4 separate regions of the Mus musculus genome follow, and regions 1, 2 and 3 are each reported to be linked to region 4. The links are microRNA targets in miRTarBase. Many come from high-throughput screens and were not tested one by one. Region 4 holds a microRNA gene; each other region holds the end of a gene's coding sequence.

Region 1 (7,120 bases), not on the chromosome of region 4:
ACCTTTGAAGTGAGGCGGAAGAAAGAAGCATTCAGATGGGGTTTCTGCTCGCTTTCCCAAGTCCCTTCAATAAACCCGTTTTATCCTGTGATGAAAGGAGGCCTTCTGAGGAAGTGTTGTCGGCTGAAAGAAATGATCCTGAGACCCATTGAGACCATGAATACCAATAAATGATAATGTGGTGGTGTCTTAGGGCCTAAGAGACTTGAGAGCAATTTGCATCTTAGTGACAGAATCATTGTAATATTTATATCTTGGTTACTATTTAATATCCTTTGTGCTATGAAGCTTTCCCGTGGCTTTTGTATATGTATTTCCTTGTACTATTTAACTAGCTCCCGTAGAGCCAGAAGTGGCTTGTACATGCTCTCATAGCGTGATGAACAGGCCCCTCACCTTTACAGCCAGTGTGGTGAGCACAAGCCATGAAGACAATATGGCTGTCTATAAGTGAAAGCAGAGACACCTGTATCTTTCCTGTTGTGCCTCTGTGCAAACAGAAGGTAATAGATTTGAGGTTTGTACAGCAACCCTGTGAATTGAAAAAGGCATATTTTTGTGTTTATTAAGCCCCCTGTGGACCAGTGCCGCTTGCTTAGGTTTGGAGCATTGTACGTGAGCCTTCACCGTCTCCATTTCCTGAGGAGATGGCTTCACTTTCTTGGGTGGAGAAAACATGGCAAGACATGCAGTTGTTGGGGACATGTGGTGTGTTCGTGGAGACATGGGGTTGACACCCTCTGGCACTTGGTAGTCTTGATGGATATTAACTTGTCTTCGGAGAAAGTGTATTTTGGCCCTGTTGATCTCGACTGAATGCCAGGTACCAGTCTTCTCTACCTTCCCTGCCAAAGGCTCAGAGGGTAAGACTGCAGTCAAGAAAACCTAAAGATATGTATTGGCTCCTAGAAAGGGCAAACACAGTGAGGTAGTGAATTCTTTTCAGAGAAGTTCTGCTTAAGGAGATAGCCATGTAATGCAGATTGCTTTTGTCTACAGACAAAGCAAGAATGCAGTAAGCTGCCTACATCCTTCTTAGCAATATGCTAAAACAGCAGTGTGGGCAGAGCCTGGGCATAGCAGAGCCAGCAAGGATGGACTACCCTCTGAGCACTCTCTGAGAACTTCTCACTGAGAGGGACCCTAGGGCCCTTCTAGGACTCTTGGCAGGAAGACTTACGGGCAGACCTGGTATGCCTTGTCCTCCACCCTGGCTGGATGCTTCTGGAGAGAATTTCATGATTCAGTTGAAAACATTTCTTTTTCTTTCAAGTTTCCTTTATCTTTGAAGTTTTTCTATTGGTTCAGTCAGTCTTAGAAGAAATGAAGGCCTAACTCTCTTGTCCCTGCATGTATGTGAATTCTTGCTGTGAATGAGTCTTGGCTAGCCTTGTTTGTGACCTTGTGGATTTGCATGTACTGTTTGGAGGAGATCTCTTGCCTATCTAAGAGGTGGCCTGAGGATTCGTCCCCGCCCATGTCAGAGTCTCTGTGGGTCAGTCGGAGGAGCGTGGAGACTTGTGTCCATCCTTGTAGTGATGGAGGTGGTGCCAGTGATGACAGCATCTGTGTTCAGAGCACACAAAAGTCCCATGCTTAGTGTGCTCCTGCCGAACTGTCTTTTTCTGAAGATGTCCTCTACATAGCAATAGTGACATTAAACAGGTAACAGCAGGGGTTGGGGGGGTGGGGCGCATACACTTTCTATGTAGAGAATTGTTGACTGATCCTCATGAGCTGAAAAAAAAAAAAGCTGCTTCTAGTGTGTGAGGTTTCCGGGTACCTTTTAGTTCCTCATAAAGTTGCAGACTCTGAGGTGCCTCTTGCTGTCTGCTTTTGTCAGCACCAGCCCCATAGTAGGGCTAGCTAGGCACAGAGTCTAGTTTGGTGGACACATGAAATTTGCATGACCGAGGCCTGGGGGTGGTGGGGGAGGCTCCAGCGGCAGCAGTGGGTTGGCATAGATAGCGTTTGATATGTTCATAACCCCTGCTGACCTGGAAGCGTGTCCTTAACCTCCCCCTCTTCAGAAGAGTGAGGTCTTTCGTGCTCCTGAAAGGACTAGAGCAGGTGACAGGCTGCCTCAGGTGATGCTGACGTAGCAGACCCCTTTTCTGGGCTTCGTTAGCTTTTCTGACTCCTTAAAACCTATTGTTTCTCTCTTCTCAGCAGACATCTTTAAAATAACCAGTTCTGTCTGGTTGAGAAAATTTGGAATGTCTGACCTATCAATGTTTATGTAGACATCGTCTCTGAAAGACAATAGCATCAGTGTTAGATCTAGAATTTTCTTCCAAAAGATAATGTTCTATTTGATTTCATGCTGGTCAGTATAGCATTGGATATAAGTTCTTAGGCTTTGGGACTCCCCCCCCACTCCATTCTAGTTTCCTCCTAAGAGTAAAGGGGTGGAGGGACCCAAGCCCATTGAGTTCAAAGCCATCTCACAGAATCAAATTTAGACCATAGGTTCTTGAACAGTGTATTGTGTCATTAGTTTACCTCATCTCCCTCTTTATTCTGATACTCTAAGTCAAGTGAGCCTTTGGTTAGTGGTTAGTATCACTTGGACTGTGGCGAGCTAGCAGAACTTGTTTGGCTGTGATTATGGTAAGAACGTGTCTGAAGCCACTTCAGGGGTAAAAGGTTTGTTTTCTTTCATAATTGCATCTGGTACCCAGCAGGAAGTACCTGGCCCCTCCTTGTTCGTCAGAATAGCTACCCAAGGAATCTGCCTGGAGAAAGGTCAGTGAAGGAAGACTCGTGGTCACCCCAGCCCAGGGCAGGGCAGGGCGGGCCTGCCCGATGCTGCCGGACGACTCATGGTCACCCCAGCCCAGGGCAGGGCAGGGCGGGCCTGCCCGATGCTGCCGGACGCTGCCTTCCTCCACTAACCGGGCGTTGCTTCAGTTCTTTCAGAACTGATTTAGCAAGTTCCAGAACCCTGTCCCCTTTCCATGGCACTGAAGGGTACAGTGATTCAGGGCTTAAAGAATTGGCTAGGTCAAGGGGCAGAGAGGGCAAGAGCAAGGCGTATTGTAACCCAGGCCTACCTGTTCCAACTCTTTCATAACTTGTTTATGAAAAACAATTGTTTTCATTCATATATAACTTATTTAAAAACTAATTCAAATAATAATGAAATTGACCCATTTGCCTAAAATCATTGCTTTTTGATAACTTGGTTTTGATGTGGTTCCATGTGGAAGAACGCTAGGGAGCAAAGCTGTCTGTGTATGCTGACGTTCGTAGGAGATTAGGAACCCATGGAGAAACACTAAGCTATTTATTTGTCTGTCTGTCTTTTTTTTCTTTCTAAGTAGGCAGTTCTTTTTCTGTATATTTTGTCAGATAACCACTTCACCTTTGGTGCCTTCCATGTGTCACATAAGCACTCTTGTCAATCATGGAATTGGGGCGGGGATGTACATTTAGTTAACAGATAACACTATTTTTGTAGCATGATTGTGTCCTTTCAATATTGCTTTCCACAGTATCGGTCCTGACGTTTGGGCCATTTCCTCTTAAACTTCCTATGTATTTTTCAAAACGACCCCCTCTGGCAAGTCCTGTCCCTTGCACTGTGTTCTTCCCACACTGCACTTCTGCTGGTTTAGTCTGAGAAGTAAGTCAGAGGATAGTTCTGAAAAAAGTCTCGTTCTTGTAATTCTGTTTGACACTGTTTGACTGTTTGTTAGACTGGAAGAACTGTTGCTCACCAACAGTGAGAAGAAAGTGGTCTCATTTTTCACAAGTTTCAACCATGTGCCACCTTCCTGCTTGCTGGGTCTAGTGAGCGCTTGCATTTGGCTCCTGGCCCTCCCACCCTAGCCAGTCAGTCCCGGCTGTTGTCTGCCCTGTCTCCTAGGATAGATAGGCTAAGTGCCGCTGTGTCCTGGCAGCACCCCAGACTTGCTCTGGGATTTGCCCCACTTGGATTTAGGTGACACTGTGGCTGCCGCTGGTGGGTTTCTGGGTAGCCTGAGTGCAGTAGGTCCTGTGCTGTGGAGGGCTAGGGAAAGCCAGGGCACAGGATAACCTAGCCACCGTTCTGTTTTCCTGACCCTGCACCATGGAGTTGTCTGGTCAGGAAAAACTCACTGAGCCATTGCTGAGTAAAGGTACGGCTCCTCTGAGGTAGGAACTTGTAGCTCTGTGATTTTTGTCCTTTGAAGAGTCAAAACGTAATTCTGTGACAACACAAGTTATTATGTGGCCAAATGACAGCTTTCTGCCAGGACTGGCCACTGCCACTCCATTTAATAGTGGCACTCTTGGGAGACAATGTTAATAGTTACCACATTTTGTTTCTTGAGTTTGGTTTTCTTTGAGGCAGGGTCTTGCTAGGTAGTCCTGTCTGACCTCTAACTTATAGCAATCCCCCTGTTTCTTCCTCCTAAATGCTGGGATAGCACACAGAAGTGGACCACCATGTCTAGCTAAAGTTGTTTGGCATGGGAATTCCAAGGTGAGGGCCGTTTAAGAACCTTGAATTTGTGTTGTTTGCAGTACTGAGTTTCCCATCTGGGCCCATCTGACATTGTCGCCATGGATGGACCTCCCCTGACCCCCAGGCTGGACCCTGTGCACTGCAAATGATGTGGGAGCCATGGATGGCATTTGCCCCGTTGATTTGCTAGACAGCAGGCAAAGCCTCACCCTGCCCTCAGCCTCTCCACTTTCCTTTGAAGGACCAATTTTTCATGGTACTTGTCTTGATTGTTTTCATATTGTTCAAATCTGTATTTTTGTATGTAGAGGGAAATACTTTTCTCAATACTAATCACTAATGAATACTGTATTGTCAAGAAGGAGTTCTTGTTTAATAAATGGACATATTAAAAAAACAAACAAACAAAAGCGCTTTAGTCTTTTCTTTCTCTCCCAGAGGCTTTGGGTCCCACTTTTGCAGCAGGCTTGCCCTGTGGGTCGAGCTGGAGCACAGTCAGCAGGCTGTAAGCGGCTGGAGAAGGAAGGACCAGCCTGCTAGGCTGTGTGGCACTGCACAGCCCCTCTGCCTCTGCGCATCCGACTGCCCGCCTGTTTTCAGTGCGTGTTCAGTGACAATGACCAGAATGTCCTCGTAGCCACTGCTCTGAGGTCCCTTGCTCAACTAGTTTCTAAACCCTGGAGCCCCACGTTGTGGCTGTTGCAGAACGCCATCTTAATGAGAATGTATGCTTACCCTTTAGTGCCTCGACCGTGGGGTTGAGTAAAGGCACCAGCAGTGTCACCCGCCACCCTGATACCCAGCACAGTAAGTGCTTTCTCACAACTGAGTTCAGAGCTGTCAGCACTCCTGTGCTTGCTTGTATGGAAACGGGCACACAGTGTGTCTGCAGGCAGTGGTGAGTTCTTAGTCAGGCGCACTCCAAGCATGTAGTCAGTTTGTTTTAATCCATTGTGACTTTTTTTTTTAAAGGGAGGGAATTCACATGCAAGATAAAAAGGTTACAAATGCCCAAGACATGGGCCCTTATTCATGGGGCCTCTTAGGTTACAGAAAAGACCATTTGTTACATTGTTTTTGTATTAAAAAAATATAAAAAAGTTAGAAAACACCATCAAAGACACACACAGTAACCGCCCCCAAGGGACTACAGAGAAGTCCATGTCACCAGTGGTCCTGCCCAGGTGTCCAGAGGAAGCACTTTGTCTTTTAGGGTCCCCAGGAAGAGAGTGCTTGGCTGGGCCTGCCCAGCCACTTGTGACTTGGTCACTGCCACTATACTGGTTGGCTCCCTGTCTCTGGGCCCTAGTAAACAAATCTTTGGGTCCGTTTCTGAAAAGGCCTCAGACCTCTAATGGAAGACTTGGCTAGCTAGGTTTCTCCCTATTTCACAGTGAGGAGGGAAACTTCTTGAATAAAAGGTTCCTGAAAGTCATCTCAATGCAGTGCAGGTTTGGGGCTGGTGGTCCAGCCTGCTGTGGTTTTATCTGTCCCTGTTAGTAACAGAAAGTCCCACCCCACCCCCATGCTGCCACATGATTGGCTGTAGTGATTGGCTCCGTTTGATGTGTGCTTCGGTGGGGGCAGTGAGGTTAAAGGGGCTCAAGGACAGAAAGGGGAGAAGGAAGGCTTGTCAACGTGCCCTACCACGCTAGCTCAGCAGTGCCAAGCCAGCACAGCCAATTTTGAATGTGAGGCCTCGGGAGTGTAATCTTGAGAGACGGGCTCCTCGGTCTGTTCTCCCATGGGCATTCCTGCCATGCTCCAGGAGCCCCGTCAGGACAGCGTGGGTGAGAGGGCCGAGTGGCTCTAGTTGTTAAGCTCAGACAGGCCTTTAGTCAGAGTCTGAGTCCGAGTTGGAGTTCTCTTCTGAAAGGAAAGCAGAGGGTGCGGTTATCAGTCCTTGGGCTGTGGAGTAGTGGTGGTGGTACCAGCAGCCAGCCAGCCAACAGGAGACCTGGGTCCGGCCTCTCCCATCCTAGTGGCAGGCTGGGCCTTGGGGCACACATAGGGTAGATCAGGCCCTTCTACTTAGCTCACAGCACAGATGCTTCCTTCCCAGGTGGCCCAGGCATTCCCAGGCATCCCCTCTCCCCTGAGGATGGCAGAGTTGTACACTGACACCCCTTTCTCCACTCTTATTCAGGAGGACAAGGCAAAGACAGTAATTCTTATCCCTGAACTGAAATACACAGAACCATAGGGCAAGCGAAGCTATTTTATGGGTTTGGCTATGTATAAGGATGATTCTGGCATTGTCTGCCTCACGAGGCAAAGCACTGCACTCTAATGCCTGTCCCCAGTGCTATGGCTGTTTTCTGATACTTGTCCTGTCCCTTGCCGAGCCCTGGTTCTTCCCCCCTTATCCATTAGCCAGGGAGGTACAAGTAGGATAGGCTTGCTATATTCATATTTAACATATAGGCCAAGGATCCTTCTATTGCAAAACAACTATTTTACATTAAAACCATACAATATTCAAAATGTATGTTCATGGACATTTATGCTCTGGTCTCTGAGCTGGCTGACCAACATTTGCTACAAAGGCTTGAAGGCAGACAGCATCCAGGAGCATTTAACTAACAGACCAGAAATGAGTCTGGGATGGTATTCATTTTTTAGCACTGAGACAGTGTCTGGGACTCCCGGTGGGAAGCTGGTGGCCCCTAA
Region 2 (7,120 bases), not on the chromosome of region 4:
GTTACAGAGACGGAGTTTGGAGCTGAGATGAAAGGATGGACCATGTAGAGACTGCCATAGCCAGGGATCCACCCCATAATCAGCATCCAAACGCTGACACCATTGCATACACTAGCAAGATTTTATTGAAAGGACGCAGATGTAGCTGTCTCTTGTGAGACTATGCCGGGGCCCAGCAAACACAGAAGTGGATGCTCACAGTCAGCTAATGGATGGATCATAGGGCTCCCAATGGAGGAGCTAGAGAAAGTAGCCAAGGAGCTAAAGGGATCTGCAACCCTATAGGTGGAACAACATTATGAGCTAACCAGTACCCCGGAGCTCTTGACTCTAGCTGCATATATATCAAAAGATGGCCTAGTCGGCCATCACTGGAAAGAGAGGCCCATTGGACTTGCAAACTTTATATGCCCCAGTACAGGGGAATACCAGGGCCAAAAAGGGGGAGTGGGTGGGCAGGGGAGTGGGGGTGGGTGGATATGGGGGACTTTTGGTATAGCATTGGAAATGTAAATGAGTTAAATACCTAATAAAAAATGGAAAAAAAAATTATATGTTTACTGCAGTTTATATGGAAGTTCTCTTTTGAGTTTTCTGCAGAGCCTCTATATTGAATTTCACCCTCCCCACAAAGGATTCTCCTCAGCAATTGTCACTCGTTTTGTTTTTTTTTTTTTTTGTTTTTGTTTTTGTTTTTTCTTGTCACTGAGAGAAGGTGGTGCCTCTGTAATTTTCATGTGTTTTCCTAATGGACAAGGATTAAAACGCACCTCGTCTTAACTCTCAGATAATAACCAGTTTCCATCCTTCTGAAACAGATTCTTAGAATCAGAATTCCAGAGACCTCTTTCCCACTGTAGCAATTCTTCAAAGCACAATATTTATCCCCATGTTGAAACTACTTCCAAAAGTCAGTTATTAAAATTAATTATTGACTACAGGGCAGTTTCCCATCTTGAAAAAAAGCATTCATATTTGTATGCCAAATTGTCATTTTAAACTATTCACTGTGTCCCTGACCTCAATATTCAGTCCTACTTTTGTGTCTTCACTCACTGGGAGCTTCCATTTGGAGTGGTGGGTTCAACCATATAACAAAGACTGCAGCCTTCTTTCCCTTTGACTGAACCTCAGCTTCTCTCTCTCTCTCTCTCTCTCTCTCTCTCTGTGTGTGTGTGTGTGTGTGTGTGTGTGTGTGTGTGTGTGACTTTGATGAGTTTGGTCGATGATTTGTTCTCTGAGTCACCAGGATTCAGTAAGTGTTGTCTTCAGGGCCCCTCTCTTCATGCTAGGGAGCCCTATTGATTCTTTCTTTGGAGGACTCTCCCTAGATGCCATTTGGTTTTAAATCCTCCTAGGGCACCTCTACCTCCCAGTGTTTGCACTACTCTCTGATATATTTGCCCCTTTACAAAAAGTGTCCTGCCTTCTACTTAAAATCCCTTCTATGGGTCCCTATGGCCTGAAGAAAAGTTCATGTCTTTTGTCTTTTTTCTACTTAGTTTCCAAACAAATTCTCCATCCCACCCAGGCTCATCTTCCCGTGAATCCTACTGTCTGCATCCTTGCCTCACTCCATCCTCTGTTTCTCTGCTGCTGCCCCTCTTCTTACTCTCTCCTCCCACACTACTTCAAACCAAAATCCTCTTAACCTAGTCTGCCTATGTGTCTGTCTCTTCCTTCCTTCCTTCCTTCCTTCCTTCTTTCTCTCTTTCTCTCTTTCCTTTCCCTTCCTCCCTTCCTCCCTTCCTCCCTTCCTCCCTTCCTTCCTTCCTTCCTTCCTTCCTTCCTTCCTTCCTTCCTTCCTTTCTCTCTCTCTTTCTTTTTATCTTCCTTCCTTTCTTTCTCTTTTCTTTCTTTCTTTCTTTTCTTTCTTTCTCTCTTACTTTCTCTCTCTTTCTCTCTTTTTCTTTCTTCCTGCCTTCCTTTCCTTCTCTTCCTCCTCTTCCTCCTCCTCCTCCTCCTCTTCCTCCTCCTCCTCCTCCTCCCCCTCCCCCCTCCTCCTCCCCCTCCCTCCTCTTCTGGAATTATTCTATCTACTCTATTTGTTTGATGACTATTAACTGATTTTCTTGGATTGTTGCATGAACTTGTTTGTGTTCAAGTTGCCTTTTTGACTAGATTTTAATTGGTATGAAAACAATTTGTTTCTTATGTTTTTTTTTCTATTCTCTTTTGTAACCCACTCACGCTGCATACAATGATTGCTTAAAAATGCCTCATTTAGATGTCATTAAAACAAAAGGTTGTGTCTTATATACAGACAATTTGTCATACTGTAACTAGTACTGTAGATGCTAAAAGTATTGGTAAAATTGCTACATTTTTACCAGAAGTTCTATCCTGATCTTCACATTATAAATACAGATATTCCTTCTTCCTCCCACTATTTTTGCTTCAGAATTAAAATAGATTGTTTTCCTTTTATAGAAAAACTTGTTTCTCACAATGTGGCTTTTCTAATCTCTTTATTGTCACCCACCCATGCCGTGCACAATGATTGCTTAAAATACTTAATTTTTATGTCATTAAAACCAAGGGTTGGGGATGACACTCTGATAGGAAATTATTTTGCTTATAAATCATTCTTACTGTCATGTTTCTCAGTGTCTTCTTGAATCTAAGCAGTTCTGCCTTTTGGGAAGTTGAAAGCGAAAATAATCATCTGAGTCCAGTGTATTATAACAAAAGACATTGTATTATCACTCTTTCATTTTATTGAAAAGAAATCATTTCTATTCTAGCACAAACAATGTATATTTTACATCATAAAGCAAGATATAATTTACATATTACATTTCTTATGAGATCTTTATTACCATATGCCATTCCCTTTTTTGTAATTAGGTCATTACTTCTGGTTTAATTTAACCTCCCACGTGCTGAACTAATTGGCCTCTTCTTTGGTAAGGGAGTGTGGACATTGATAGTTCTAATGCCTTCATCTGGGTATATTGATGGAGCGCAGTAGCTATATGCCTTGAGTCTGACACTGAGACTCTCCTCTGGTAATTGACTTACAAGCTAGATATCTAACCCTCCAAACCACTTGTTAAACTTATATTCTTTCACAAAGTTTACCACAAATGAACAAAATTGAGCGTCAGTGCTTCAGGTGTATTTCCTGGTACGTGCTCAGATAAAGCTGCTGTGCTGTGGGTCTACCAGCTGCAGACATTCCTATGATTAACTAGCAGGGGTTATTCTGTGAAATTCCGCGAAGCTGCTTGTACGAAGCATCAGACACAACATCCCACTTCCTCCTTTGAGTTTATGGGATCAGGTTTGTTTGACGTCCACTGGAAATGGATGCCAGGATGAAGGTTTCAGATGACTTCCAACAACTGCCTTCCAAGATTCTGCTCTCCTTAGAAAACACTTTTCATTTATAATTTCTCTTCCTTGCCTATAATCCAAATATTTAAGCTATTCTCTACAAACGCTAAATTCCCGGTTTACCAGTCTCTTGGACCTGTACTCACTTACAAATCAAAAAACATTTTTACAATAAGGATGTACTGGTTTTTTTGAAATGTGATAACACGCAGCAATCGATGGGACAAATACATGAGTGGAGATAAAAACAAGTAATGTATATTAAGCCAGACCACATAAACTATTCTGAAAGAAATGCTTTAATAGTAGTTGTTGAGAAGGAATCACTTCATGAGATCAAAGTACACAAGATGATCTTCCTTCTTATTACTGAACAAAGTACAAAATCACTTGAAATATATTTTCAGATGGGTGCCTGTTAGACTGGGGAAAAAAAATCACCATTAACACAGCCAGATATGCCAAGGGAAGAACAAGTATGTGCTAAAAGTGAATCTTATACGCCAAATACTTTGACTGACACGCATATTGCAATGTTGACATATTTGGCCAAAATCACTCTGAAGATTTTCATTCACTGAGAACTATGGTTAATAAAATCGAGCTGTTGATGAAAATATAAGTTAAAAAATATCTCTATACTTTGTGCCTTAAATTATTCTTTGGTCAAATGATGTTATTGTTGAGATATTTGAAAATATAAACCTATTTATCATTTCCAAATAGAAGGTTATATTTATGTACAGTCAGATACCATTTCCTTACTAGAAAACAAAGCTTTCAAATACCGTGTTAATCCATGAATATTGTATGCTCTTAATGTCCCTTCTCCTTTCACGGCTACAAAGTGCTGGACAAACCAGGAACAAGGAAGGAAGGAAGGAAGGAAGGAAGGAAGGAAGGAAGGAAGGAAAGGGAGGGAGGGAGGGAAGAGGAGAGAGAGAGAGAGAGAGAGAGAGAGAGAGAGAGAGAGAGAAAACAAATGGATGTAGCCTCACAACATCCCTGTGAGGTAGGAATTGTTAAACCATTTTATAAACAGGTAAACTAGACACAGCATGGCAACGTGGTTTGGTCAAGTTCACCAGGAAAATTGCCAAAGCAAAGCTGGGAACAAAGAGAAACAAAGAAATACCAGCTCTGCCTCCCACCCTCGATGCTAAACCTCATTTCAAAACAACTAAAATGTAAGAGTATGATTGTATTTAATTTTTAAAATTTAAGCAAGGCTTTAAACACTTCACTTCAACATATTGTCTTTCATATTCCTATGAAGTAGAGAAAGAGTGCTGTCTTCCCTCACCCTTCCAACTGTATTTCTCATGATAAGTCAGATGATATAGACTTTACACTCAAGATCAGAGTCCAAACTCAAGGTCAACTCTATAGCATCAAATAATTCCTAATTTTATTAAAGCCCTAACATAAAAATGGAAGCTGTTCTCAAACAGCTGCCTGGCTAATTGCTCTCTGACCTTAATGAGGATTTTATATAGACTATGAAAACAAGATGCCGCATTAACATATAATTATTGTGTAAATAAGGGCAGTGGTGATGGCAGAGAGTTTGCTTTTATAGTTTTTGAGAAACTGCAAACTCAAGCTTTCAATATTTTATATATAATATATATAAATATATACAGCATATATATGTATATATAAAAGTGTGCATCTGACCACCTCTAAGGCACCAAAGAAATATAGACTATGCCTTTCACAACTCAGTATTTTTCTTCCTACAAAATTTTTTTCCATCTCTAAAACTGAAAGGATTTCTTCTACCAAAGAACAAGTGAAACAATTGTTTAAAAACGATGAGTATCTTTAACTTAGGATCTTTTATTGTTTGGGTTGGGTAAGGGGTAGGGTTAACGGTGACATCATAACCTAGAGCTTAGAGCTTAGAGTACACCAGACATGACCAACCACATTGATCAGACTGGTCAGTGACCAGAACATGCGTACATTTATTTTTTTCCTGTCACTGATAGAAAAACCTTACCATGACCAACATGGACACAATAATACAGATTCTTCAGAAAGACTTTGGATTTTCAAAAATCTCCTAGAGAGACTTGGAAGGAGACAGAGTAAGGCACTGAAGTCAAGCAGGTTACCGAGAAGTGATCTTTCTCATATATATATTTCTTTGGCTGCTGGAGATTTCTTTTATTCTCATACAATTATAGGAATGGGTGGGCTGAGCCTAACAGAAGAAGCCTGGAGTATAATTAGCTAAGCATGGATAGAAGGAAAACAAAATACACACACAAAAGCAAATGGTGATGGTAGGTATCCGAGAGCAAGAAGAAACATTTGTTAACTAATTTTCATTTTGTTCCTCTCCTGCTTTGCTCCGCCATGGTCCCAATATTTTAGTTCTGGCTTTGTTTGTTTGCTTTTATTTTTTTTTCCCCGGCGGATGAAGATATGACAGAACAGGATAGGTGTCTTATGGTTTTTGATTTCTTCTTAGGCCTGTTTAATTATTTTTTTTTCCTCAGTTGACTGTTGGCACCTGGTTCCTCTGTAAACTATATTCCTTGGCCTTCAGTCTCAGGTTGGCAATGCTGTTGGCCATGTTGATACCCTGTGCAGGGCTATTGTTGGCACATGTGGCAGAATAAGTAGCCATGGCGCTGTAGGGACAAAGGAGAGAGCAGGGAGAATAACAGACATTAGTTTCATGAAGCTGTAAGACCATGCCCTGGATGGATATACTCTCAGGACAGAGGCAGGCAGGGCAGTGGGGTAAAGAGAGGACCTTCGGGGTCTCTTACAGCTCCAGTTTTCAATTAGTTTAAGGTCCTTGGAAAAGGGTGTCCATCTTTTTACAGGGCATGGGGAAGCAGACAAGAATGAGACAGGGTAGGGAAAGGTTTTTGCTGTGTTGGATACAGTGAGTAATGATTTATTTCAGGGGTAAGAGGAGACTGCTCATGTCAAATAGCAGGAGTTTCATCAGCTAGTTCAGAGTCTAATCTTTCCTACCTATACCAGATAACCTGTGAAACCATCGAAGGAAAATGGCAAGCATTTGACAGTGGATAAAAAGAATTTTGCTTCTTCATTCTAGGAAATTGACCTGGACTCCAATGTATTTTGGATAATCAATAATACTATAGAAAATGATTATAGATTATAGAAATGGTTATATGTGCTTATAGAATTATTAAACAACCCATCATATTCCTCTGGCATTGTGATTCATTGGATGATTGTAACAAGCATTGTCAAGTCAAGGCTTTCCTATCAGTGGGTTTTGTTTTTAATAACTTTTCAAAGGTATTTGACTAGCACACATTACCTTTGGGGACAGTCATTTTGGAAATATTAAAATTTCAAAATAAACTTCCCAAGTTATAGTTTTACCATTCTTGATCTCAGATGTAACTGTTCCTCACTATTTGTGTTGTTTGGAGAAACAAGAAGCTAGATGATTGTCAGAAACTATAACTAGGACATAGGCAAGAATTCATTATTACTGGGGTTCTATTCGTTCCATACATGAATCTCTTTTAATGGAAAAAATGGTGTGTAAATGTGGATGCAAATAATCTTTTACCTTATGTGAAATAGTTAAAAGGAAACTTTGAAATAAATAGAATGATTCTAGCTGTTTCTAAGATTAGTAAAATTTCTTCCAACAGAGAGCTGGGATAGGGCTTATAAATGGAATGACATATTCAGTTCTGGTGCCTGCATTCCAATGGGATTTTGTCAGTGACACTGGAGTTTGTAGTTCTGGGATCAGATGACAAGATCAGAAAGAAGGAAACCTAAA
Region 3 (7,120 bases), not on the chromosome of region 4:
CATAGTTCCAACCAGCCCCAGCCACATAATTAAACTCAGTGTGTGTGGTTTCTTTTTTAAATAACTTTGATATAAAGTTGTGTGTGAAATTAGACAGGCCATCTCAGAGAACATGCTTATTTCTTTCTGGTATATTGTAATTAGTTTTCAGAAATTGAATTTGTGGTGTTTCCTCCATTTTCATAATCCATTGCAATTAAGACAGATGTCAGCCTCTTTTCTGCTTATGCTAGTATTTTCATGTCGTCCACTGCTGACCACTTTCTCTGTGTCTGTAGGTTTTTTCTGATGTATCTCATAAACAAGGATGAAACAGAACACACAGGACAGGTGGGTGAAGGCCAGTTATACACCATCATCAGGATGAAACTGTAGGAAAAGAGTGTAGATAAGACAGCAACATGTAGATATTCAACACTAAGGGAAAGAATTTACTTTCAGGGGCTCGAGAGGTGACTTGGTGTTTCCCAGCACTCACGGGGTAGCTTACAACCACCAGTGACACCAGCTCCAGGGATCCAATTCCTTTTCTGGCCCCCATGAGCCCTGTGCTCACCAGTGCATAACTACACAGACATACATATTTGATTTGAAAAAGAAAAAACATTGCTTTTAGATATTAATTATGCTACCTGGAGAGAGACAGCAAAATTCTAATTTCACATTTAAAACTAAGCTTTTAACTAAAAATACTAAGTTTCCTTGTGAATTCAATCTTTTTTCTTCTTTAAAGATTGTGGCTATTGTGTGGCTTATACTTTCAAATAAACTTCCACTTACAAAATTATAATTGGGAAAAAAACATTCAATGTCTATGTTTTTTTAGGAAAATTTGAAATTCCCCTTCTGGGTTACTCACTATAAATGGATAATAGTTTGAACTTGGATAAAATTAAAAATCATAATAAATGTAAACCTTAGAGACTTAAAAATATGTTGTTATCATATATTGGTCAAGCTAAAGACATTCTGTTTATTTGAAGATCATTTATTAGTGATGGTAATTTAAGTGGGGCTATCTGAATGCAATGGGACTTTTCTTGTTTTAATGATATATCAATGGGGTTGAATGACTTCTTCTACTCTGTCCTGTGTTATCTAATAGATTTTGGACACTGGGTTAACACACTTATTTTCTCTTTTTTACAGGAATCTTACGTCTGGAAGATGTACCAAGAGAGGTGTTGGGAATTTTTCCCAGCAGGGGACTGTTTCCGGAAACAGTATGAAGACCAGTTAAATTAGCATCATACCTTGATTGTCTCTGAAAACCAAAAGCAATCTCTCTCTCAATCTCTCTCTCTCTCTATCTCAGTCTCTCCTCTCTCTCTCTCTCTCTCTCTCTCTCTCTCTCTCTCTCTCTCTCTCTCTCCCCCTCCCTCCCTCCCTCCCTCCCTCTCCCCCCCCACCTTGGAAACACCTACTCATATTTTCCACTAACCAGCATCTTGTGCTGATGCACGGATGCTCAGTCTCAGAGGACCTGACTGTTCTCCCCCCACCTCATGTATCTTCATTGAGAAACAAAGACCGAAGAACAATCCAAATAAGCATTCAGACTAACCAGGAACTCTGGAAAGGAATTCATCATGGATACTCTACCATAACACCCATGGACAGCTTCCCCTGAAGGGTCATGGAGTCTCCACAAGCTGCCAGACCTGTGCAGCCAAGCACGGCAGTCACACTCACCCAGGCTCTTTATTTTGCCATCCCAGAAGGAAGTGTCTGAGGGTCATAGAGCACTGTAGCACTTAACAGGTTGCCATGCAAAGGGAAATAGTGCCTTACTATAAGTGGGTTGAGCTATGCAGAAGATAATGTGCATGACAAACACCTTTATTTTCTTTACATCAACCTTGTTTTCTTAGATAAAATGGTTTTGTGATTTTGGTTTCTTTCTTTTTTCTCCCCTTTTATTCTTTTCTTTGGTGGAGGAGGGTAAGAAAAGCTATCTGCGCTATTTTCAAAAGAAGGGTGGTGTGTCTCAGGACAGAAGGAGGCTCTTGTCATCCAGCTACGTCACATTTACCCTCCCCACTTTGGTAAAGACTCTGATGCTACATGGCAACTTATGAAATCTTTGTATGAAAAAAGAGACTGCAAAAATACAACTTTCAAAAGAAATAATTCATTGCATGTTTATTATGCAAGTTTAAATGAACAAAGAAAGCCCTCAGAAACAAGTTGATCCACATGGGAGAACTTTCGTGATAATTACATCCGTAGTAACAAAGCTGTGGGCTTCCTCATATTTCTGGAGTCAGTGTCATCCACCGACAGTTGGAACCATCGCCAATGTGACAGTAGTCTTGGGTTTTCCTCTTTCTTTTGGCCACCTGTGATCAGTCATTGGTTAAGGACGCCTTGACAGGCCATCTTTTGATATCCAAGCTGAAGCAATATCCATTCAGAGATTTCATTGGTTGCATCATAAGACATGGGTGACCATGTACATCGATTCATTTTATGTTTTTCTTTTTTCTTTTCTTTTTATCATTTTGAGTCCTTTTAAATGTAATTCTAATCTTTACAATTAAAAAAAGACAGGTTCAGAATGGAAGCGAGGTCATTCTGCGAACATTGGAGATCTTTTATTACAAGTCTGCTTGTTAATTTTAGAATTGTAAAACGGCTCTAATTAAACTATTTAACTAACTTCCTTGTTCTTCTCCTATGTCTTCCTATTTCACATATACCAGGAAATTATAGAATCCCATGCTTTTAATTCAGTTTAATTGTGTATAGGACAAACCCAGACACTTCACAGTCAGACAAACATAGCAGTATTTGTAACAGGAGAGCTGGGTTCACCAGGCACCTTGACCCTTTTCTATCTTATGGGGTAATTCAATGACAACTAACTCTCTTCCCACTTTTAAAATTTTCATACAACTTTCACTTTAAAGAACTCTTCCTTGCTCAGGCAAGTGAACTTTTCCATAATAATTACAACCCACTTAATATCTTAATAGGAAAGAGAAGTAGACCATAAATAAGTAGTTCATAAAACACAGAGATGATGCTAGATCATCAGGGCTATCAGTTATCATCTGTTCAATTATGTCTTATCACATCACCAGAGCTCCAGAACCTGGCTTTTGTGTTTCTCTTTTGGAGTCACTTTTATTTGAGGGAAGAGATAAATCTTGGCACACTGTAGATATTGCTACCAAGCCTTCTCAGAAATGGGACCTTATGTCATAAAGAGTCTGAGCCAGTAGATCTGGTCAGCTCTCTAACACATCAAAGAACATGAATCCCTGTACCATTCTTATTTGAGACAAATTTGGAAGTTAGATTCAGATCTTCTATTTATAATGCCCACATTGTGGTAGACACAAAACAATAGTAAAGGTAAGAAAAAAAGGAAATAAAGTCATAGATTTGTCAAGATCTGTGCACTTTACTGACTGACAGCTCCTCAGAGGTGATAGAAATATCAGGAAAAGAGACATTGGAATTGGTGAAATGAGGGTTCTGTTAGCCAATGGGTGTTGCAAACACATCAGTGTTGGAAGAAAAGTAAAAACACAGGTGGGCTATTTGTGCAAGTCATACCTGTCCAATCACTATTGACCAACACAGCAGGACATCACTGGGAGACCATCCAACAGAAGATGGTAAAATCACTATAGGGGTGCAATGCCTGTAATTTCAACACCATGGTGGAAGCCCAGGGCTGGCCTTACGCTACACAAGTGAGTTCAAGGTCAGCCTGTGATGGGGGAGACTGTCTAAAAGAGACAAAAGGAATTCAACCTTATCAGCATTATTTATTTGCCTAGGAAATATTCAGGGAATCTCAAACACAGTGTGACTCTACCTCTCTGATTCTCTAGGCTGCCTGAGGCGAACTCAGGAGATGTGATCCTGTGAGGTATTTTTCTCATCCCTATGATTGAGTACTGGACACGAAACAAATAATGGAAGAAAGGATTTATTCTGGTGTGGCTTGAGGGGTCCAGTCTATCAGGATAAGAAGGCATGGTGGCAATAGATCCATAGTGGTAGACGCTGTTATCTGGTTTGTTTATAGTTCAGCTGGTTGGGAAGCAGGAAAATCAACTCTGACTGCTATGGCTTTACATCTGCCAGCTGGATCCATGTTCAAAGGGTCCCACAGACTCTCAAAACTACAGGACCAGCTGTGGACCAAGGTTTCAAGCCTTTGGAGGACCATTTAAATTCAAAGCATGATAGTCATCCTCTCAGAAATATTTTATCTCACCCATTCAGACATTATCAGGAACACTATCATGGTCACCCTGGGTACTTACAAAGCTTCAACACATACAGAAATCATTAATTCTCATCTATTTTTTTCTTTCTGAAAATAATTTTCTCTATGATTCACAGAATGGATTCAGATGGATGGTTTTAGCAAAAGCTTTCCAAATGTGATAGCCCTCCTTAGATGCACACCTGGCAGTTTTTCCAAGGACAAGATACAGCTTGTTTTCATTCACAACCAGTTCCTAAACAGAGCCATCGCATCAAAGGCCCAAATGTAGCTCTGTAATTAGCCTGTTATCCTCTATCAACCAGGCCAGTGTGAACCACCACAGGCCCCTTCTGACCTTATAGACTTCCATGGGGAAGCAGAGTTAGGAAATGTTTAAGTAAATACCAGTGATGTCCACTGACGCTCACTCTGCCACTCTGGCTTTTCTGACAAGGGAACCCCCAGGGCATTCAGAATAACCAGCTTCAGTATGTACAGTTGAACACACTCTTTATGAACGAAGAGACAAAGTCTATTCTAACCCTGTGCTATAAGGGATGCCCGTTGGACAGTTTGCTTTGGTGTTGAGCCCATTTCTGTAGTGAAAATTTAGTTTTCAAAACTATCCATCAGTTATTTTACTGTTGGGGTTATACCATTTATCATAATTAGCATGATTCTTATAGTAGAACCAATTTAAATTTATCCTCAACTAGCTTAAAAATGAATGAGACTCAGACTATGGTTATTTTCTTTGGCTTTGACAATTACTAGGGTGCTCACTCCTAATCTATTTTTCTAACTGCTGGCTTAGCTACCTCACCTGCAGTGTACCCCCAAATACTTGCCGTTTCTCCTGGCCACGTGTTCATGGTACCACCTCTCCTCTCATAGTACCTCTACTCTCTCCTCCTCATTCTCTTCTCCCTTCTTCTCCACCCCCAAGCAGGTAACTCAAAATCCACCTACCTCAAATCCCTCTAGTAACTGGCCATATACATTTTTATTTAACCAATAGTTTTAAATTAAGGAACAAGGTTGCACAAAATTAGCTGGTAAATGTGAGAATTCACGTGTAGGTCTAGAACATAGCAACAGACCAAACCTCAACAGTTTTAGTTCATATTTTCTCAAAACTTTTGGACCACGTTACTAAGAAGATTTCATAAGGTCAAATAATTTGTTAAGATCAAATCACAGAGGTGTTTGATAGCAAAGAGTAAACTAATACTTGGCTTCCTTGCTCATGTCAGGAAGGGAGAATCACTTCCCCTCTGCTATGTTCTGTATTTCAAAGCCTGGAAATTAAACTGAGCTTTATTTACTACTAAACGTTTTAACTTGCCTATTCCACAAGCCGTGATAGGTGTACGTTGCTAATGTAATAAGACACAAAAAGAATATAATTGGTAGAAACATTGGAATGCAAAAAATGAAAAAAATGTATTAAGTAAGACTATATGTCTTACAAAATAAGATGTCCAGATTAAATACAAGAGTCAATGAGGTAACACAATAAAAAATAGTTTCCTTTACAATTATGGCTTATATTAAAAATTATGCACCACCTAAAAATAAGCAAAAAAAAAAAAAAAAGCTTACATGAAAATCATAAATTTTCCTCTGCTTCCCAAGTGCTGGGGTTAAAGGCGTGCGCCACCACTGCCCAGCACTGCCAGGGCTACACAGAGAAACCCTGTCTCCGACAAAAAAAAAAAAAAAAAAAAACAACAAAATCATAAGTTTTACTAGGCATATTCTTATTCACTTATGATCTTGATAGTTTACAGAAAAATGTGGGTCACTGCTGCTGCAGAGATAAAATCTCAGATGCCCATAAATTTTCTGAAAGTATTAAATTTTAGTATTTTGTTTCATAATCAATCAGAATTGTCCATGTATATTATCAGTTTCTTACTTGAAACTGAAAGGAAATTAAATAAAATAAAAGGTTTAAACTAAAAAGGCCTGGGACTGAGACTGCAAAGAAAACAAGCCCCGGCATGCCCGAGTCCGTCTTGAAACTAGGTCACCTGGTCGTAAAGATGAGGGAAGGAATGCAGGAACTGGTTCTGACTATCTTGGCTGACTCATTGACCCTCTGGCAGCCCGGCGCCTCCTGCTCGCCCCCCCTATCTATAGAGAGCATAGTTAAAAGCTGAAACATTAACCAGATGCATTGTCGACTCAGATAAGCCCCCAGCTTTTAGAATCCTTATACGCCCCAGCCTGTACATACTACTCTGCTGACTCATAATCATGTTGCTGATGTTTGAATGGGCAATCGTATGTAACCGCACCAATTCTTCCTAGCTCCTAAACCCTACCCTATAAAAACCCCGAATTTTTGAGTCTCAGGGTCGATTCCTCTGTCTCCTGCGTGAGATACGTATTGACCCGGAGCTCTGCCATTAAAGCTACCTCATGCTTTTGCAACAAGAAGGTCCCTCGTGTTTCTTTGGGTAACCCCATGTCCCGTGACTTGAGTGGGGGGGCTCCTTCTTGGGGTCCTACAAAACAGGAAGGGAGATATATTTCTAGGAGCCTGCAGAGGCTAAGGAGGAGAGGAGAATGAGAGAGAGAATGAAAACATCCTCTGGATGGACTTTCCTTCAGTCTCTGCTCCTTGGGATCCATCCCATCTGCAGACACCAAAGCCCAACACTTGTCTGAGAAGCTCCACCAGCATCTGACTAAGACAGATGCAGATACTCAGCCAACCATCAGACTGAGCCTGGGGACCCCAATGGAAGAGTTGGGGAAAGAACTGAAGGAGCTGAAGGGGATCGGAACCCTGTAGGAAGAACAATATCAACCAACCAGACCCCACAGAGCTCTCAGGGACTAAACCACCAACCAAAGAGTACACATGGAGTGACCCATGGCTCCAGATGC
Region 4 (7,120 bases):
CTACCCTCCTGACCTTCCAAAGACCCCCCTCCTAATGCTGTCACTGTGGCTGTCAATCTGGGGCACCACACTCCTTAAGAGCATTCTGATGCTCCTGGAAAGCTTTGTTCTTGGAAAGTAGCTCTAGTCTCTGGCCCAGCCTTGCCCCAATTTTCAGACATGTGGTGGGTACCTGTCAGCAGCTCTCCTCTGGGCTGCGTGAGGATGACGTCTCCATTTCAGATGGGACCCTAGCTCTGTCTAGACATAGAAAGGCTTTGTTTCCTCAGAGATGCCATCTTCCCTTGGTTTCGCTTTCCCACCGGAAAGTCCCTTGACGTTCCTCAGTTCTGCCATGCTCTTGTGTGGCCCACCTCACTCACCATCTCTGGAGATGCAGATCGAAAGCTGGTAATGAGGCTGAGCATTAGAGATCGCTTGGCTGCTGGACTTGGTGCTGGAGATTCAAAGATGAGAATAGGGGACTTACTGCCTCTGAGCAGGCAGGAAGAGAGACCCGTGGACCGAACGCAGACCCTGTGTTCCTTAGAGAATAGCTAGGGCATGTGAAATGGCCTGGAGTATCCGGTTGGGGAAGTGTCTGGGCAGGGTTTTGGGAAAGTGGATTCCTACATTGAGTTAGAAGATGATTTCTCTGAGGTGGGGGTGGGGCGGGGGCAGAGATAGAGTACTTTCCTGGCATGTGTGAAGTCCTAGGTTTTATAGTTTGAAATTTGAAGATAAGCCATAACTTTATGTCCCAGATAGCACAGCTGGGACCCGAAGGATTGAGTGACTGTTAGCCATTATGGAAGTCTGAGAGAAATCTCAAAAGCCAGGCCCTTCAGGTAGATTCCCATAGCAATAAAACAGCTTTGCCAAGCCTGACAGTGGTGGAGCACACCTTTAATCCCAGCACTTGGGAGGCAGAGGCAGGCGGATTTCTGAGAGTTCAAGGCCAGCCTGGTCTAAAGAGTGAGTTCTAGGACAGCCAGGGCTACACAGAGAAAGCCTGTCTCAGAAGAACAAAAACCAAACAGCAGCAACCACAAGAAAAGCCATTCTGTCACATCAGCGCAGCACAGGCCTTTTATCCTCACTCACTGAGGATTTGAACTCAAGGCCTGCCTAGGCTATACATAGCCTCTAAAGGAGGGTGACAAGGGGCTGGCGAGATGGCTCAGTGGTTGAGAGCACTGACTGCTGTTCCGAAGGTCCCAAGTTCAAATCCCAGCAACCACATGCATGCTCCGTTATGAGATCTGACGCCCTCTTCTGGAGTGTCTGAGGGCAGCTACAGTGTACTTACATATAATAAATAAATAAATCTTGAAAGAAAAAAAAATAGGAGAGTGAAAAGAGGCCCATGGGACAGTTCCGTGTGCCACGTGAGGACTCCAGCTTGTGGCAACAGTACTTAGGGACTGGCAGGGTAGCAGTGGTCAAGCTGTTGTTAGCAGTTGTAGGTCAGCACTCTTCTGTACCCTGCTTCCCAGCCATGTTCTGGCCTCCTAACTTACTATGGAAGATTGAGGTGACAAAGGTCTCAGAACATCACAGGCCATTGTGTATTGGCCCAGAGATGCCAGGGCAAGGGCTGAGCAGGGGCATGGCTAGGCCCATGATGCAGACCTGGAAGGGTTGTTCACAGCACACCACCGCTCGCTCGCTTATTCCCGTTTCTTCCCTAGGCCAGCCCGTCACTCACGGCACGAGATCCTCTCAGGGAGCCTGCTGCTGCTGGGAACCATGACAGTGAGGGGGGCCGCGCTGGCCCCAGACCCAGCGTCACCCACAACCACAACAGCTTCACCTAGCGTCTCTGCCACCCCCGAGGGCAGCCCCACAGCCATGGAGCACCCTGTGTTCCTGATGACCACTGCCGCCCAGGCCATCTCCGGCTTCTTTGTGTGGACAGCTCTGCTCATCACTTGCCACCAGGTACCTTGGTGTGATGGGGGAACATCCTTAGTGTCCCAAGTGGTTTCTAGTTCCACAAAGGATGCTTCAGGCCGGCCAGGCAAGGAGCGTAAGCCCTGCTTCCTGGGGTTCTCTCCCGCACCCCAGCTCCCCTGCAAGCAGGTGGTGGCTTTGGATTCACCTCCAGTCCAGTAGCAACTGGAGCATCGGGATTGTGAGGAGACACACAGATGCTTGTCTGCTACGACCTGCTCAGAATCTGCTGGCCACGCACATATGCAGCCGAAGCCACGGAACGGTTGCAGTTAGACATTATTGGGAGCCTGAGGGAGGTGGCTGAGGAGCTGGTGGCAGCTCAGGAAGAGAAGTCAGGTCTCCTGTTTCCTGTCCTTTCGCCCTCAGGGGAGGTTGGGTGCCCAAGGAGGAGCTTGCTGGATTCCCATGTAGAGGGTTGGATGAGTCTGCTCAGGCCCCTGGCAGCCCCTCACCAGCTGCCGTGCATCTCAGTCTCTTTCAGATCCATTAGTGGCCAAGGAAATTGGCTCACAGCGGATGGAAATGTTTTGTCCTTTTCCTTAGTCAGGGCTGGCCTGGGCTGGGCCAAGAGTGATGTCATGAGAGTCGGGCTGCGCCCTTAGCTCTGCTTCCCCAGAGTTGCACTGCCTTCTCCTGCCTCCCTGGGGATATTGCAGTCAGTGCTGCCTTAGTTCAGCGGATTGGGCATAGTGTGAGCACACCACTATGGCCACACAGCCTGGAAGTGTGTCCAGGTCCTCCAGAGGGAGGCTCTCGAGTACCCCACCCTCTCTAGCATCTGTGAAGGGACAAGGCAGAGTGGCCACAGCCAGGTGGCTTCAACTCGCCCTTGATCAGCCCTTCAGCTAACTCAGTGCTGCTGCTGCTGTGAGACCTTGGGAACTTGGCTTTGGGGAGGCAGAATGACAGGAGCACACATTGAGGACCGCAACTTCAACAACACTGTGGCCCTACTGTCCCCTGTAGCTGAAGGTGGCCTGTAGATAGTGTCACACCGGCTTTATGTGGTCACTTTGATTGGACTCTCACGATGGAAGGTTTGTCATCTAGTTTTCCAGAGCAGGATTGAGGCTCAGGGTGGGTAACTTGCATCAGCCCATAGAGCAAGGAAGGGTAGAGACAGATGTCAGGAGCCATCCTCTTCCCATGGAGCAGGCAGGAGGAAGAGGGCAGACAGGCAGGTGGGAGGCAGCTGTGGTAGTAGTGGGACTTGGCTGACTTAGTGCCCTCCCTCAGATCTACATGCATCTGCGCTGCTACAGCCGTCCCAATGAGCAGCGCCACATCGTGCGCATCCTCTTCATCGTGCCCATCTACGCCTTCGACTCCTGGCTCAGCCTCCTCTTCTTCACCAATGACCAGTACTACGTGTACTTCGGCACCGTCCGAGACTGCTATGAGGGTGAGCACACCTTGGAGCGGGGCTTGGGAGGAAGGTTGGGGAGTGGGGGCCTTGGGGCCAGGGGGGTGCACATCCCTCGTTCATCTCTAGGACCTGAGGCTGGCACGTCATTCCTCAGTCTCTCAGGAGCCTCTGGACCAACCTCACAAGGATAGATCTGGATCCCTCTTCCCCACCTGGCTGTCCATCTGTCGCTAATGGACGGGTAACCATCCACATGTAACCCAAGTCTCTGCTTACAGACATGGTTTGGTTTGGGGGATCCCAAGACGCCTTCACAGATGCCTCGAGGCAGGAGCTCTACCTCTGATTCGTTTATTTCTCATCTCTGGCTTCTCTAGCCTGGTTGGCAACTTCTAAATGATCCATCTATGGATAGGAACCATGGGTATTGGGGGAGGATTTACACAGCTGGCCTGCAAGCCCATGTGTCCCCCTGTGATGCTCTGTTACGCCTCAAAGGAAAGGACTGGCACCCCCTCCTTAGCGCCTTCTGACACATTCCCCCTTATTTCTGTGTCCCCTACCACAACCTCTTTAGGAGACACATCAGCCTCCACCCCAGCTCAGCAGTAGGTAGTTCCTCGGTGTTAGGAGCTGGCGTGGTCTGATTTTCCAGCCCCGAGTGGGACTGACCCTCATCTTGTCTCTTCACCAATGTCATATCCTTGTCCCTGCACTGTCTGTTCCTTCAGTGGATACAGCCCTGAGAGGAGGCTTCACTCCGTGGGAACAGAGCCAGGCACGTGACAGCACTATCCCCTCCCCCTTTGAGAGAAGATCTCATGTAGCCTGGGCTGGCCTCAGACTTTTTGGTTAGTGGGGAGAGCAGGGAGCAGGTATCAGTGTCTCATGCTATATCTCTGACTGACCTGGAGCTCATAGAGATCGGCCTATGTCTACCTCTTTAGTTCTGGGATTGAGGTGTAACCTTATAGCCTTTGTTTTTTTGTTTTTGTTTTTGTTTTTCACGACAGAGTTCCTCTGTATAGCCCTGGCTGTCCTGGAACTCACTCTGTAGACCAGGCTGGCCTTGAACTCAGAAATCTGCCTGCCTCTGCCTCCCAAGTGCTGGGATTAAAGGCGTGAGCCACCACTGCCCAGTGTGACCTATATTCTTTGACTCTCTGTCTACCTTTTATGTGTATGAATGTTTGCTGGTGTGTATGTATGTCTGGGCACCGTGTGTATGTAGTGCCTGAGGAGGCCAGAAGAAGGCTCTGTGAACTGAAAGCCAGGATGATGCTCTGGAAGATCAGCCCATGCTCTTAGCTGCTTAGCCATCTCTCCAGCCCTAGCCTCAAACTCCCGTGCCCCTGAAACATGGTTTCTCTGTGTAGCCCTCCCTGGCTGTCCTGAAACTTGTTCTGTAGACCAGGTTGACCTCGAACACAGATATCCTCCTGCCTCTGCCTCCCAAGTGTTGGGATTAAAGGTATATGTTACCATACTTGGTTTTATGTGGTGCTGGACATGGAACCCAGGACTTTCTAGAGGCTAAGCAGGCACAAAAATACATCCCCAATCTAGTCCGTGTGTGTGTGTGTGTGTGTGTGTGTGTGTGTGTGTGTGTGTGTTGGAGGAATGAGGGGCCCTGCCCAACCCTTCTGTGGGGCTGCAGTTGACTCCCCAGTACCGTCCTCCTGGCCAGTGCTCAAAAAGGTTCCTTCCAGGAGAGAATATGGGGAGGCAGGTGTTCCACTGTGCTTGATATTCCTGAAAGCAGAAAACCCCTGGGGAGCCTCTGGCTGGGAAGGGAGGATCTGGGCACCTGGACCAGCTCCTCCCTGCAGGTGCCAGCTCCTCCCTTCCCAGTCACCAGGACCAGCATCTGCTCCCCTGGTTCTTTTAGAAACAGAAAGTTGTTTCTTGCTGCATATGTGTCCTTGTCTGTGTTTGTGTGTGTGTGTGTGTGTGTGTGTGTGTGTGTGTGTGTGTGTGTGTGTTGGTGTCTGTGTGTCCTGTGTAGTCTAAGGGCCCTGAAGATAGGACCTGTAGTACATGGGGACACAGGAGGGGAGCTACCAGGCGGTCCTCACTCAACAACACCCCAGAGTAGCAGCACTTCTGAAGCCCCTTTGTTCCTCCCACCTGCCCCAACCAGCTCCACCACCAGCTCAGGAAGTCTGCCATCCATCTCCTAGCAACGCTGTTGTCTCTGGCCTGTCATCTCCCAGGACATTTACAAACAGAGCACAGCACCTGACCCTCACTCTCACCTATCCCTTCTGTATTTCCCCTTAGATCTCTTGTAACATACCTAAAAAAGCACACACACATGCACGCACAGGCACACATACAAACACGTCTCTTATCCTCACCATGCTGGGGAACTAGACTACAGTTTTCTCTAGGTGTGCGTTTAGAATGTGCGTTTAAATGCTGCCCAGAGCTGAGCCTTGCACTGCGCTCCCTGCCCCCTCCTCTTTTCCTTTCATTTCCTTTGGTTTGGGGCAGGTCCTTATGCAGCCCCTTATGCAGTGCGTGCACTCCTGCCTCCACTCCTGAGGGCGGTGCTTGCAGCCCTCTGTCCTTTCTGTGTAGAAACCTGGGCTTTGCTACTTGTCTTAATTTGGGGTTTGCTCGGTTTTCTGTGCTTATCCCTCACTTATCCCTGACCACTACAACCGAGTTTTAAATAACCAGTCCCGCTTTCCGAATGGCGGCCCTGTGTGAATCTGTTAGCACTGGCTTTGCTTTGACCAGGCTCTCTGCACTCAGCACTGCCAGCTTTCAAGGCCACCTCTGCTGTCACCCAGGTTGCCAGTCACAATCATTCTTAGACCTGTGTTGGCTTCCCCTGTGCTGTGTGGGTCACCTGTCCCTGTTTCTCCTTCATTTGTGGTTTGTTCTCTCTGTTAGTTGGGGCTCATCTTCTACCAGGCTCCTGAGAAAGCTGCCCATGGGATGCTGGTAAGGAAGCCTGAAGTGTCTTTAGTGGATGGCTCTGTGATTGACATCTTTCGGAAGGGACTACACCTCAAGGGTGGAAATTGTTCTCTGGGTCCTGCAGGCTTCTTCTCACTGCTCCTACTGCTGCCTTTAGGGAGTCAGCTGGATTCTGACCCTGCCTAGCTGCTTGCATATTTTTTTAGGCTTTTAAGATCTTGCTTTCAACCTCAAAGTTCCAAAACCTTACTAAAGATAGAGTAGTGGTCACTGTGCCGGGGGAGGCCTTGTGGGCGTGAACCCCCGACTCAGGGCCTGAGACCTTTCCTTGTTTGTGTCTTTGATATTTTTCTTTAAGGTTAAACAATTATTTAATTGTTTAAATTTTATTGTTTAGTTAGCAACCTGGCAAGGACTGAGTTTCAGAGATACTGGGTGCCTGTCCTAGGATGCCCTGGCTCCATACAGCACCCATCTGATGAGGGCTGTGGTTCACACCGAGCTGGGATAGACCACGGGGCTGGGGTGTGAGCTGATCGCCGCGGGTTTGGTGTCTGATGGGCTTGGGATGAGCTAAGAGCCTGAGAGACTGGGGGGCCAGAGTTGGAGATGCAGCGTCCTCTGCTCCCTACCACATATTTTGTTACAAGAGTTTGTGTGGCGTTCACAGCTTACCCCAGGTTCTCCCTTATCATTAGCACGTTCTTCCCTCCCCCAGGACCAGGGCGAGTGTGCATCGCACAGCCATTACGCAGTGTGAAAACGGGGCTGCCCAGGAGGACCCAATGGTGACAAAGCGCCAGGCACCTGCCTGCCTGGGTCTTTGCAGCCAGGATTTGACTTATGCCGGGCCTGGTGAAGGAGGGGAGCGCACCCCACTTCAGAGTTCAGATT

Evidence for each region. The annotated mature microRNA mmu-miR-1943-5p reads AAGGGAGGAUCUGGGCACCUGGA and lies in region 4 at 5,091-5,113, shown strand. An mRNA with a match to its seed (bases 2 to 7 or 8) in the 3' UTR can be bound and repressed. Matches are read on the target gene's strand: a 7mer-m8 pairs with bases 2 to 8, a 7mer-A1 pairs with bases 2 to 7 and ends in A, and an 8mer does both.
Region 1: miRTarBase lists Cmtm3 as a target of mmu-miR-1943-5p. Seed matches in the 3' UTR shown: 7mer-m8 at 5,421-5,427.
Region 2: the mRNA of Prrx1 is a reported target of mmu-miR-1943-5p. Seed matches in the 3' UTR shown: 7mer-m8 at 4,258-4,264, 7mer-m8 at 4,254-4,260 and 7mer-m8 at 4,250-4,256.
Region 3: miRTarBase lists Ryr2 as a target of mmu-miR-1943-5p. Seed matches in the 3' UTR shown: 7mer-m8 at 1,375-1,381, 7mer-m8 at 1,379-1,385, 7mer-m8 at 1,383-1,389, 7mer-m8 at 1,387-1,393 and 7mer-m8 at 1,391-1,397.

What each region holds. Positions count from the first base shown.
Region 1 is chr8:104,345,931-104,353,050 of GRCm38, reverse strand. It overlaps Cmtm3 (CKLF-like MARVEL transmembrane domain containing 3), which reads right to left. Exons shown (of 5, transcript NM_024217.3): 5 at 5,379-6,319. The coding sequence ends at 6,285. Cmtm4 (CKLF-like MARVEL transmembrane domain containing 4) reads left to right here. Exons shown (of 4, transcript NM_153582.5): 4 at 1-4,860. Among named protein-coding and RNA genes, the nearest start is that of Cmtm3, 8.9 kb to the right of the region's middle.
Region 2 is chr1:163,242,422-163,249,541 of GRCm38, forward strand. Prrx1 (paired related homeobox 1) reads right to left here. Exons shown (of 4, transcript NM_011127.2): 4 at 2,698-5,975. The coding sequence ends at 5,837. Among named protein-coding and RNA genes, the nearest start is that of Gm20471, 34 kb to the right of the region's middle.
Region 3 is chr13:11,548,641-11,555,760 of GRCm38, reverse strand. It overlaps Ryr2 (ryanodine receptor 2, cardiac), which reads left to right. Exons shown (of 105, transcript NM_023868.2): 104 at 279-330; 105 at 1,150-2,658. The coding sequence ends at 1,245. Among named protein-coding and RNA genes, the nearest start is that of Ryr2, 550 kb to the left of the region's middle.
Region 4 is chr15:79,373,264-79,380,383 of GRCm38, reverse strand. It overlaps Mir1943 (microRNA 1943), which reads left to right and starts at 5,084; the gene lies at 5,084-5,156. It overlaps Tmem184b (transmembrane protein 184b), which reads left to right. Exons shown (of 9, transcript NM_172608.1): 2 at 1,671-1,920; 3 at 3,172-3,337. The coding sequence starts at 1,729. It overlaps Gm52190 (a long non-coding RNA gene), which reads right to left and starts at 1,688. Exons shown (of 2, transcript XR_003951550.1): 1 at 1-1,688.